3 linked regions of the Sus scrofa genome follow. The protein of the gene in region 3 purifies or fractionates together with the protein of the main gene of each other region. This does not show direct contact. Links are inferred from orthologs where the notes say so. Each region holds a gene or a part of one and is shown on either strand. Other genes may lie near its edges. The genes, in order: ING3, MBTD1 and EPC2.

The links.
Region 1: the proteins of EPC2 (region 3) and ING3 purify together in Homo sapiens (affinity purification with mass spectrometry; 3 studies listed by BioGRID and IntAct, with this or other methods). This does not show direct contact. The link is inferred for Sus scrofa from reciprocal best matches to the Homo sapiens genes EPC2 and ING3.
Region 2: the proteins of EPC2 (region 3) and MBTD1 purify together in Homo sapiens (affinity purification with mass spectrometry; 3 studies listed by BioGRID and IntAct, with this or other methods). This does not show direct contact. The link is inferred for Sus scrofa from reciprocal best matches to the Homo sapiens genes EPC2 and MBTD1.

The regions. Positions count from the first base shown.
Region 1 is NC_010460.4:25,973,627-25,977,364, forward strand, and holds the start of ING3 (inhibitor of growth protein 3), read right to left. Parts: upstream 2,874-3,738; 5' UTR 2,739-2,873; coding exon 2,711-2,738; intron 2,458-2,710; coding exon 2,386-2,457; intron 1-2,385. UniProt on the Homo sapiens protein: Component of the NuA4 histone acetyltransferase (HAT) complex which is involved in transcriptional activation of select genes principally by acetylation of nucleosomal histones H4 and H2A.
Region 2 is NC_010454.4:27,460,167-27,463,821, reverse strand, and holds part of MBTD1 (MBT domain-containing protein 1), read left to right. Parts: intron 1-3,128; coding exon 3,129-3,320; intron 3,321-3,655. UniProt on the Homo sapiens protein: Chromatin reader component of the NuA4 histone acetyltransferase complex, a multiprotein complex involved in transcriptional activation of select genes principally by acetylation of nucleosomal histones H4 and H2A.
Region 3 is NC_010457.5:3,432,085-3,435,739, forward strand, and holds part of EPC2 (enhancer of polycomb homolog 2), read right to left. Parts: coding exon 3,413-3,655; intron 1-3,412. UniProt on the Homo sapiens protein: May play a role in transcription or DNA repair.

The sequences.
Region 1 (3,738 bases), on a different chromosome or scaffold from region 3:
TTTTTCAGATAGTCAAACTAGTCAACAGTGTAGACAGATGCTATATTATAGCTGCTGAATAGTACAGTCTTGGGGTCAAAACCTAATGTTACTAAGTCAGCCAAATGTGCCAAAGTACAATTTCTCATTGGATTTCTTTCAATAAGGGATGAGATAAAAAGATTTCAACCTCTTGCTATGTACCATTAAGTAGCCCATCATCTCCCATCATGACTGAAAGCAGGGATTAATCATTTATTCACTTAATGCATAATATTATTTATTCCAGATAAGCTCTTCCTGAAATGTGTGCTAAATATAGTCATTCTGCTCTATGTCTATTTAAAAATGAAAAATAAACAAAAGGGATTTTGTTGCTCTGCAAATTGAGGAAAACCTTTTTACTGTATCATTTTTGAGATATTCAGTGCGTAACAGTCCATCTCCTAACTTATTTGACAGAGATCTCTTTTGTTAATCTATAATAGCTATTAACTTTAAACAATTATTATACAAATTCAAGTTTAAAAAAAACTCTAACTTACATATTCAAGTCCAGATTACTAAAGAACTTAAAAATTTGTAATCATGAAAAAGTATAATAGCTACCTTTTATTGAATGCTCACTTTGTATCAGGTACTATATGCTCTAATTTATCTCTATTATTTTTAATCTTCATGATGATTCTCATTTTACAGACAATAAATCCCGGAGAAGTGGCAATGTGGTCAAGGTCAATGAGTAAGTTTCTAAAGCTCTAAAATAAACTCAGATTTGCTGGACAACAAAATCCATGCTCAAGCCTATACAAAACACTTCTCTAGCAAATCTTTAGCATTTCAAATACATTAAAGTTAAAATGAATTTTGTGAGCAAGCTGGAGAAACACACAACTCAGATTTCCACACTACAATCCACTGAACAGAAGGTGGCTTCCAAGACATATTACCTTGTTTCATGCACCACACGAAACTGGCAGGAGGCTGAGAAAAGAATATTTGTGAACAATGGGTATGGAAGTATGTGTGGTGCTGGTGGGGCAGAGAAGGGAGGCGGGAGGTGGGGGATGGGGGCTACCTCAAGACTACCACACTCTGAAAGGTTCTATTCTCTGATCTCTTTCCATGATACTCTTTTCCTCCTTATCACATCCCCAAACCCAGATGTTCCCCCCAGCCTTACTTCTCTGAGAAGAAAATCTGTCAGCACAAGAAATATCCTATGCATAGTCTAAACATGGGATACATGTGATCAGGAAACATCTTCTGTTGATATACCCTATTAGACTTCCCCTGTGGCCTACAGCATAACTAATGGCATTATCTCTGCAGATATACCCTATGAAGGCCAGCCATTAATATTATTTAAGCAATTAAACAGTACTTACGTTTCTCCAAACAAGAGTGACAGACAGCCAACAAAGTACACTTGATTAAACATTTTAATTATGGATCACATTATTCACATTCTTAATTTTTAATATAGGATTTCTACAAGACAGTGGTAACAGCTATATTCGTTTCACAAAGGGGAAAGGTGTGTGAGGTTCTTTCAGAGCATGATGAGTGTACACTTGGCACTCAACACTGTTTTCTTGTTTTGAAGTGTAATTTTCCTGTACTTATCTTTTTATTCTTTATAAAGGTATTTATTCTTTATCTTCTCTGAATCGTAAACTCTTTAAAAGAAACTTCACAGAAAAAAAATGATCCTATAAACTAAATACTGCTCTATGAAAGGGCCAAGTTATTTTTGGGAAAAAGTCTTCGGATTAACAAAGTATAACTGAAAGACCAAAAGCCAAAGTTTTTGTTACAGTAGACAAGCAGCTTTACAGTAAAATCCAATTTCCTTTCTCATGTTTGATTGAGAAACTATCATGCTGTTGACAATTGAGAATGTATCCTATAATGTGTAACTTTTCAAATTGGACATTCTAAGTTCACCAGGGTCTCTAAAGAACTACATATAACCTGTGCTTCCATATGCATTTCCTCTCTTGAATTTTGACTAGAATGAATTTTAACAAATACATAAATGCCGCTATGTTCTATACGTGAAGTCTCAAGTCAAAGTCTTCGCAACATTGATGCCAACGTTCACTAAAACATATGTCTACATTCTTAATGAAGGTACAGAAACTTTTATTGTACAGTCTCAAATTCGAAAAAAAAAAAAAGGTGCACATGTGCTCTGATGCCACCTTCTTTTGTAAAAGCCAGAAGAAAAGTAGCGTGGGAAACAGAAGAGCCAAGATTCGGCATTGCCGGTTCTTTTTGACAACTCCTTATGATGTACTAGCGAGGGAGCCGGAGGAGAGTCAAACAGCAGAGGTGCTGGCGTCGATGGCAAGTAAGTCTGGCACTGAACGCGCGCAGCGAACAAGGGCAAACGCGCCGACTTACTCTGCACCTGCAGATCCATCTCGCGCATCTCCGTGAAGCGGTCCCTCAGGTCCATTGGCAGCTGCTCAATCACTGTCAATGGGAAAGTCAGTCAGAAGGGCGGGGCCAACGGCGAAAGTACGCGCCGACGTCGCTGCGTGCGTGCGTGCGTGCGTGCGTGGGGGGGGCGCGAGGGAGCCGGCAGCCCACAACGAGGCTGCCAGTTACCGTGAGAAAGAAACATCCCCCGCCTCCCCCTCCCTCCCGCCAGCCCGCCAGCCCGTCCACTCCTGCTCTCGCCCGCCCTCAGGTCCCCCAGTCGGGCCCGCCGGCGCCGCCCACTCACTTTCTAGATAGTCCTCTAGGTACAACATCGCGGCCCTTAGAGCTGGGGGAGCGAGGGGGTCCAGGGGTTTATTTGTGTCACTCGCTGTCGCCGGAGTTTTGTCCCTTCCAATATGGCGCCTCCGCTAGCAGCACCCGCTCGGCTTCGGCGGAAAAAAAAAAAAAAGAAAAAAAAAAACCCACTTTGGCGCCTGACGGCGCCTGCCTCACTGCCGCCCGGAGTGGTCATTGGCTGGCTGAAGAGGTGACGTAAGCCGAGCGGAGCACGCCCCCGCGCCTTTGTGGGAAGTGTAGTTTTCGTCCCTCCCCAGCAAGAAAGAACACGCTGGTAGTCCTCCCCTTGCAAACTACAAAAACCAGGTGCCATTGCGAACGGTGCGCAGCAGAATCTGAAATGCGGTGCCTCTGTTTATTTGTTGATTTTTGCACGGGTAGTGATGGGAGTTGTATGCGCCTACAGAACACAACTAGGAACAACTTTTCACCTGTTCTTTACTGCCGCAATTCCATGTCCTGGCGTTTATGAGTCATGGATTTCAAGTAGTGTGAGGCAAACGGCAAGGGTTCTAACGCTAGAATAATCGGCAAAGTTCGGGCAATTGGAAGTGTTCAAAACAGAACTCACTGTTGGAATTTATCCTCCGTATCCGCTCCTAAAAATATAAATGGGACATCTGGTTGGCTGACATAGAACTAAAACAGTTTACACTCAGAATATTGAGTGAATTATGTATTTACCATATTAAAAGATGCACAAATGGTTCTCAGTAGCCACTGCATTCTATTTTGCAGTCCATCTAGTCGTTCTAATGTAATTGATCTATATAGCTATACCTGCACCCGAAACATTAATAAGTGAGCAAACAGAAATAACGGGTGGAGCCTTACCATCTAATTGTCTGTCTTAGCAATAACTTAACAATAATTACGTTGAGTAAATAGCCTGTATTTGACGTCTGTAGTCCAGGGCGTTGTCTTTTTCTATCTTCGACTCCTCCCCGCGTCTGTTCAGCTGTGATATATTTAGCC
Region 2 (3,655 bases), on a different chromosome or scaffold from region 3:
GGGACTTCCCATGATGACTCAGTGGGTTAAGAACCCAACTAGTATCCTTGAAGATGTCGGTTCAATCCCTGGCCTCGCTCAGGGAGTTAAGGATCTGGCGTTGTCGTGAGCTGTGGTGTAGGTCACAGACGTTGCTCGCATCTTGTGTTGCTGTGGCTGTGGTGTAGGCCAGCAGCTCCAGCTCTGATTCAACCCCTAGCCTGGGAACCTCCATATGCCACAGGTGCAGCCCTAACTCTGATTTTTTTTTTTTTTTTAATCTTTTTTCCCCCAACATAGGAAGCCACAGATTTTTTTTCTTCATGAAACTTGTGGAATATTTTGCTCTGAGATATGGTTATTTTTATTTAAAGTTTTTTTTTTAAGTAAAAAGTACATTCGAGGATTAAAATTAAAACAGATTTTTCCAACTAACTTGCCCTATGTTCAAGGATCCCCTGTGGCATATGGAAGTTGATTGAACCTGAACCACAGCAATAACCTGAACCACTGCAGTGACAGCACTGGATCCTTAACCATCTGTGCCACAAGGAAAATCCAGCCCTTATCTTTTTGATCATAAATGTTTGTTTATAATTTCTTCAGTGAGAAACCTAACTTCTAGCAGCCAGTGCAGTGGTTCTTTGGTTTCCTCCGCATAAAAAACCCATATCAGCCTCACAGTAGTGATAACCATCAGGCCCCTAACCCTCTCTTTCATATTATAGACATAAGCCTCCTACAGTCCCAGAATTGTTTTGCCACCCAGCTGCTTACCATGTTTGATCACTAAGCTTTCTCTAAGGCTGAGTAGTACAGGCCGCTTTGGCCTGTCTTTTCACATTTTATTTGATAAGACTTTGAGATATCAGGATTTTCTTTCCATAATGTGTGGAATTTCAGAACATTTTTTATTACTTAGTAACTGTGTGATGTATGTTTTTTAGATCTAATTTCTGAGCATTGTATGCACAGATCGCATACCTCAGTTGGTGTAACTCTTACTGGGTTTGTGGCTTATGGGGTGTAATGATTTTGAATGAATGGGCTAGGGACATGGGAAGAAATGTGAAATTAATAAAGTGGTAATATCATTATCCTAGTTTTTAGTGATAACAGTACTAGATTTCAGGATTAGCTGAAAAACTGGATATAGCTACAATATGATGTGTCCTTTAACTTTTAGTAGCTCTTAATATTATGACATCATCTCCAATGCCTTTAAATTGTCCTTTGGACATAAAAAAGAACTGTGGACCCACAGTCCCTTATTAGAAATCCTTAGGCCAGATGTGTTTTGAAATTTAGAATTATTTGGATTTTAGAAAAGAAGTACATTGTTTGTAGCATATATTATGTAACATCCCTTGTAGGCTCTGCAGCATTTCCCAAAGCAAAATATGCATAAATAGTTACATTTAATGGGCTAAATAAAGGTTATAAATAGTATACCAAGTAAGGTCTGGTTTTGTCGCCAAAGTTGTGCCGAAAAAACTTTGAATTTTTGGAATTAAGGATAAGGAATTGTAGTTCTGTGTGCATGAAGAGGCAGTCTTCTTGTAAGGGTACTCTTTGCTCCTTTAATTTTTTTTTCACATTACTCGGCAGCAAGTAGTTTATTACAACCTTTTCACACAAAACTTTATTTACCAAAATAAGAAAGAATTGGGGGGTCCAAGAACTTAAGTCATCCATTGTATGCAGATTTATGTCAGACAGGCTACAAAACCTATTTGGTTTTAAGGTTGTCTACAGATTATTATATTCTGGTTCTGTTGTTTCATCTTTGGTCTTACTGTACCTAAAATCATCCGTCAGTATATTCTTTTGGTAGGGCTTACTTTTTACAGAAATAGATTGGCTTCATTGTCCTAGCTTGTCTTTTGATTAGCTGTGTATGAACATGCTTTATAGCATGAGGGGATAACTATTAACCAGTGCTGTTGAGAAATAAGAGTTACGTTCTGTCAAGAGGATCATTGTATGCAAGTCATCTATCCAATCTGAAAAGCCTTTTTTTCCTCAAGGTTTAATAATTCTAGAGCAGGAAAATCAACACTAATTTCTGTACCATCTTCAGGGGCTTTTGTAAGTAGTAGAAAGGTAGAAACTCTCCTGGCATTTTTATCTCCAAGTGTGTGGTACATTAGACTCTTGTCTACATGATTGCTGCAAATGATTTTGGTTTGGCAGTTGAGAATTAAATGTGTACTCATAGGAGCTTGGTTTCCAGATCATTTTACATAGGAATACTGTCTGACTTGTATTTATCTTTTTAGTCCTAATTTTGCAAAGCATAATTTCTAATTGATCCTGCCTGGGTCATTTGTAAGAAAAAAAAAAAAAAAAACACTCTTAAAGAAAACATGTAATTTATAGTCACAAAGCTATGTAAGTATCCTTCAGCTTTCAACCTATTAATGCAGAATGCTTGTTTATTCAATATTCGCAGAGCTTAGATTATTATTTGTTGGTGGTGAAAGCATTGTGTAAGTCTTCGAAGGTTTTTGTGTGCTTATGAAACTCTAATGAAAAGTGTTTTAGAAGAAATTAGATTGCTTACAAACATGCAGTCAACAAATGTTTAAACTTTAGAACTGCTTTTCAGATTAAGAATTATGACTTTCCTGAAAGAGTGGATTATAAACCGAAAGTTAGAGAAGTACATTTCATATCAGTAAAGTCCTGCCACGTGTCAAATACATTTATTAAATTGTTTGATTTCTCTCTGAAGGACAGTGTTTGTCTTACATGGGCAGCCACTGACTTTGGCCTGCAAGTAGGGTTTTTAAACCCTCTCTCTTCTAGTGGATTTTCAGTCCCCTCAAATTAAAATTTTCCCAATTAGCCAGCTAATTCTTCACACTCAGTGCTCTCTATAGTTCATTTTGCTTTCTTTTGTTTTCAATGGAGAGTCAGGATCCAGGATTTGGACTTGCAGAGACTAGAAATAATCACCTGTCATCCATTCCGCAGCCCACGCACGCACACATACATGCCCACCCACCCCTTGGTTTTAGAAATGCAAACCTTGCATAGTTGGCTCTCTTTTCAGAGTACCCTATGCAATGCAGCCTTTCCTAGTTATGATGCACTTTTCTTACCACACATGTAAGTAAAAGCTTACTTTAGTTTGACTTGATATTTAGAGAGGAAGATGCCAAGTGGGAAGAAGCCTGTCAGTTTGTCGAGCCTACCCATGACAGGTGGGCTGCGGAGGAGCTTCTCTGGTGACGAAGAGTTGACTCCTCCTCCATATCGAACCCTTCCAGCACAGACAGCCTCGGAGGCCTTCCCACCTCCCCGCACTAGCCGAGAGTTCAGTCCCAGCCTCAAAACAGGTAATTAGTCCCATCAGCACCTCAGGTACTGCAGAGGGTCAAGGTCTGGGTTCGGGTCGGGGGAGCGAAGGCGGGGGAGAGAAGGCATGGTCTGGCGTGACAGATGCTGGCTCATTAAATTTTTCTTTTTCTTTCAACTGAAAATTTCATTTTCACTAGTTCTTGATAGTCACTTCACTAAGATGAATCATCAGGGAAAGACTTTTATTTTGTTATAAGCCACTTCTGAGCTTCAAATTCAGATAGAGCTGTAATTTCAGTTTATGAAATTGCGAGACAGCTTATACTATTTCATGGTCTCATTAAAATAGTTGAACATCTTCCATTGTAGAATT
Region 3 (3,655 bases):
CTGACTGAATCTGCGATCAGACTGAATCTGAGTGGCAACTGCGACCTACGCTACAGCAGCCTCTAACCCACTGTGCTGGGCTGGGGATTGAACCCCGAACTCCTGCAGTAACCTGAGCCACTGCAGTCAGATTCTTAACCCACTGAACCACAGCAGGAACACTTAAAAGGAAGTCTTTAGTTTTAGCTCTTACTAATACCTATGACACTCAGTTCAATTTGTTCTCCTTTAAGTCCACTCATATGATTATTAAAAATAATAATAATTAGAATATATTCAGGACACAGGGATTATGACTTAAAAACATTGACTGGGTTATTAAATAACCACATCAAAGTAAGACAATTCTTTGCCATGAGCCCTCATGCTCAAGGGTTTTTTAAAAGAATGAAGGAACCTGTGATACACATAAATATTACTGTCAAGTGTATCATCTTTCTATTTCTGATTAAACCCTTTATTTGTTGGGATTTCCCAGGTGTGAAACAGAAAATTCCGTATATTTTGTCTAGCTTAGTGACACTCTCTGCTAGGTAAAAGTATGGTCCTTTATCAGTCTTGTTACTCTTAGAGACATGCATGATCTCCTGAGAATAAGCAGAAGGCAAAAACGTTAAAGACACATAGATAAAAAGAAACCAAATACACGAAGATTCAATTCTTTCGTATACGTCCATCAAATATACAAATGTAACTTTCTAAAAATTCCTATATCCTCTTTAGGTAGAAAAGGAATTTCTACCAATAATTACTGAACTATAACTGAATCCACTTAAACTGAGAAACTATGTAATGAATGTAATTGGTACAGATGAGTACTTAAAACTGCCACAGCTTTTCAGTTATCTACAAAAATGCTGTTAAAGGACTTGTTTCATTATATACTTACACATCATGCTTAATATTTTGAAACAAAATAAATCTGTTAAAAACAAAAACACCTGTGAGTTCCCTTTGTGGCTCAGTGGTTAACAAACCTAATTAGGATACATGAGGACATAGTTCGATCCCTGGCTTTGCTCAGTGGGTCAAAGATCCCACGCTGCCGTGACCTGTGGTGTAGGTCGTGGACATGGCTTGGATCCTGCGTTGCTGTGGCTGTGGTACAGGCCATCGGCTACAGCTCTGATTTGACCCCTAGGCTGGGAACTTCCACATGTTGAGGGTGCAGCCCTAAAATAGCAAAAAAACCCTCAATGACTAGAGTGTCAAATAAACTTCAAACAAAATCCTTTACACTAGTAACGGAATATTAAATATCTATTTGAAGGACTTGATTTGAAAATATTGATTCTAATGTAGCTTAGTACTTGCTCAAGCCTTGAAATTTTTTAAGAGAAGAAGGAGCTGGTAAATTGAGACAGAGTACTATTATATAATATACCTAAGGCAGGAAAAATTGCACAGACCAAAACTACTATTTTTTTCTAACGGCAAGGGAAGGGCAAAAATTTTAAAAATTCTTACTGTCTATGACATTAGCATCTCATATCTTTTTTTCTTTTAGAGCCACACCTGTGGCTTATGGAGGTTCCCAGGCAAGGGGTCCAATCAGAGCTGCAGCTGCAGGCCTGCACCACAGCCACAAGCAACATCAGATCTGAGCTGCGTCTGCGACCTACACCACAGCTCACAGCAACACCAGATCCTCAACCCACTAAGCGAGCCCAGGGATCAAACACGAAACCTCATCGTTCTTAGTTGGCTTCGTTTCTAATGTGCCATGATGGGAACCCCTAGCATCTCATATTTGTGATTTAAGTTCCCTGAGAAAGGCATGCATGCCTAAAATAATACTTTCAATGCTTATTTTATGTTGATGTGCAGAAGCGTCATAAAATTCTGGAGCTGACTCTATAGAATTATTTACACTACATTCTGAATCCATACAAACAGAGTACTGATACAATAACACACAAAACATATATTTTCTGGAAAAGAATCAAGTCAAACAGATCTGGAATGAATCAGGAACATATAGTAGAAAGCTGCAAATATCTGGCCATGTTCAAGGTAAGACGGGACACATTAAAATCACCTTTTTGTTATGGTATACACTGGTAGAGAAAGAAATCTATAGTCAAGTCTAATTATAAATGCCTATACGTGATGTTTTTAAATTCCCTTTTTGGCAAAAATTATTGTAATTTTTGGCACAGAAATTCTAGTTCAGTTAATTTGAACAATGTCTTGGAGTTGGCTGAAGAAAAGATTTGACCTAATATTCGTCAACTTCCTACTATTTTTAGATTTCGAAGAATCCTACCATCAAAATCATACTAGGTATTTATCCATTTCAGTTTCAAAGGCTCATTAAACTGCACAGACTCATGAACTTTATATAACGGGATGCCATTTTCCTTACCTAAATTCGTTTGGGAGAAAATTAACCAACTAATTTGGAGAAATGATATGCCAACTTCCAATCATTCAAACAAATCCAATTTTCCATTACAACCTTTAAATAGATAAATGTCTAAGTCAAGTTTGAAAATAAACAGTTCAGTAATTTAAAAAGACTGAACATTATTGAGACCAATTTCAAGCTAAAATGATTTAAATTCACTTTGAAGAAGTTTAACATAATGATTTTGCATACTAAACTGCACCATCCAGTAAATAATTTAGAAATATATATGTTTTACAGAAAGAAAGGATATCAACTGTTTATGTCATCACATATAGTTTTGCCTCTGGATACCATGAATTTTTTGCAATGTATACATTATAAAGACATTTATAAATTATACATACTTATATACATGTGACAAAAAGAAGGAAACAAATCAAAATTTAAGACTCTCTATATATTATACACTATTTACAATGTCTAATATTATTACATTATTTTGAGTACAGTCTCTTAAAATGAAAAAAAATTTCCAATCTCAATTAGAGAGGTAAGCTATCAGACCACAAGTACAATTATCAAAAGGAGCTTCTTTAAAAATCATTTTTCAGAAAGAAAGCTTTTCAGTGGTACTCTTGAGTAGCAATGCTTACATTTAAGCAAAGTTAATACAATAAAATGAAAATTTTCTTTAACAAAAGTAGACAACATTGTGCTATGATAACCTGGTAGCAGCTTATAACCACTTTGCCCATTGGGAATTCCCCATGCATTTTGCCTACACATTCACCATATCAGGCACACACATTCAAAATACAAGTCAGTGGTTTTACAGGTATCAATTAGGATAAATTGATTTTGGTTAAAATGTGATCTACGATAATAGTTTAGTTTCTTAGGTTGGAAGAAAAAAAAAACTAGTAAATTAAGATATAATTCCTTTCTTCAGTAGGATCATGAAAAATAAACCTTCAAAATAAAACCTCGGAGTCTACTTAGAAGATAATAAAAATTATAGAGAAGAGAATAGAAGAATATATTTTTAACAAAGTGACAGCTTACCTGATATGCCATTCTTGCTGGTGTTCAATAAAGCTACAGATGCTGCAGAAACTCTTTTATTATTCACAGTCTGCCCTGGTTTTCTTGAGGTACATTCTTCACTATCACTGTCCTGTAAATTTAGTAGCCTTGGCTGGAAACACTGTAGTCGACATGATCTGATATTGCTTAATATTTCAGAAAGGGACAGTCTATTTTCACAATGTTTACTGGAAGCATTGGTCCGAGAGAAATTAGAAGAAA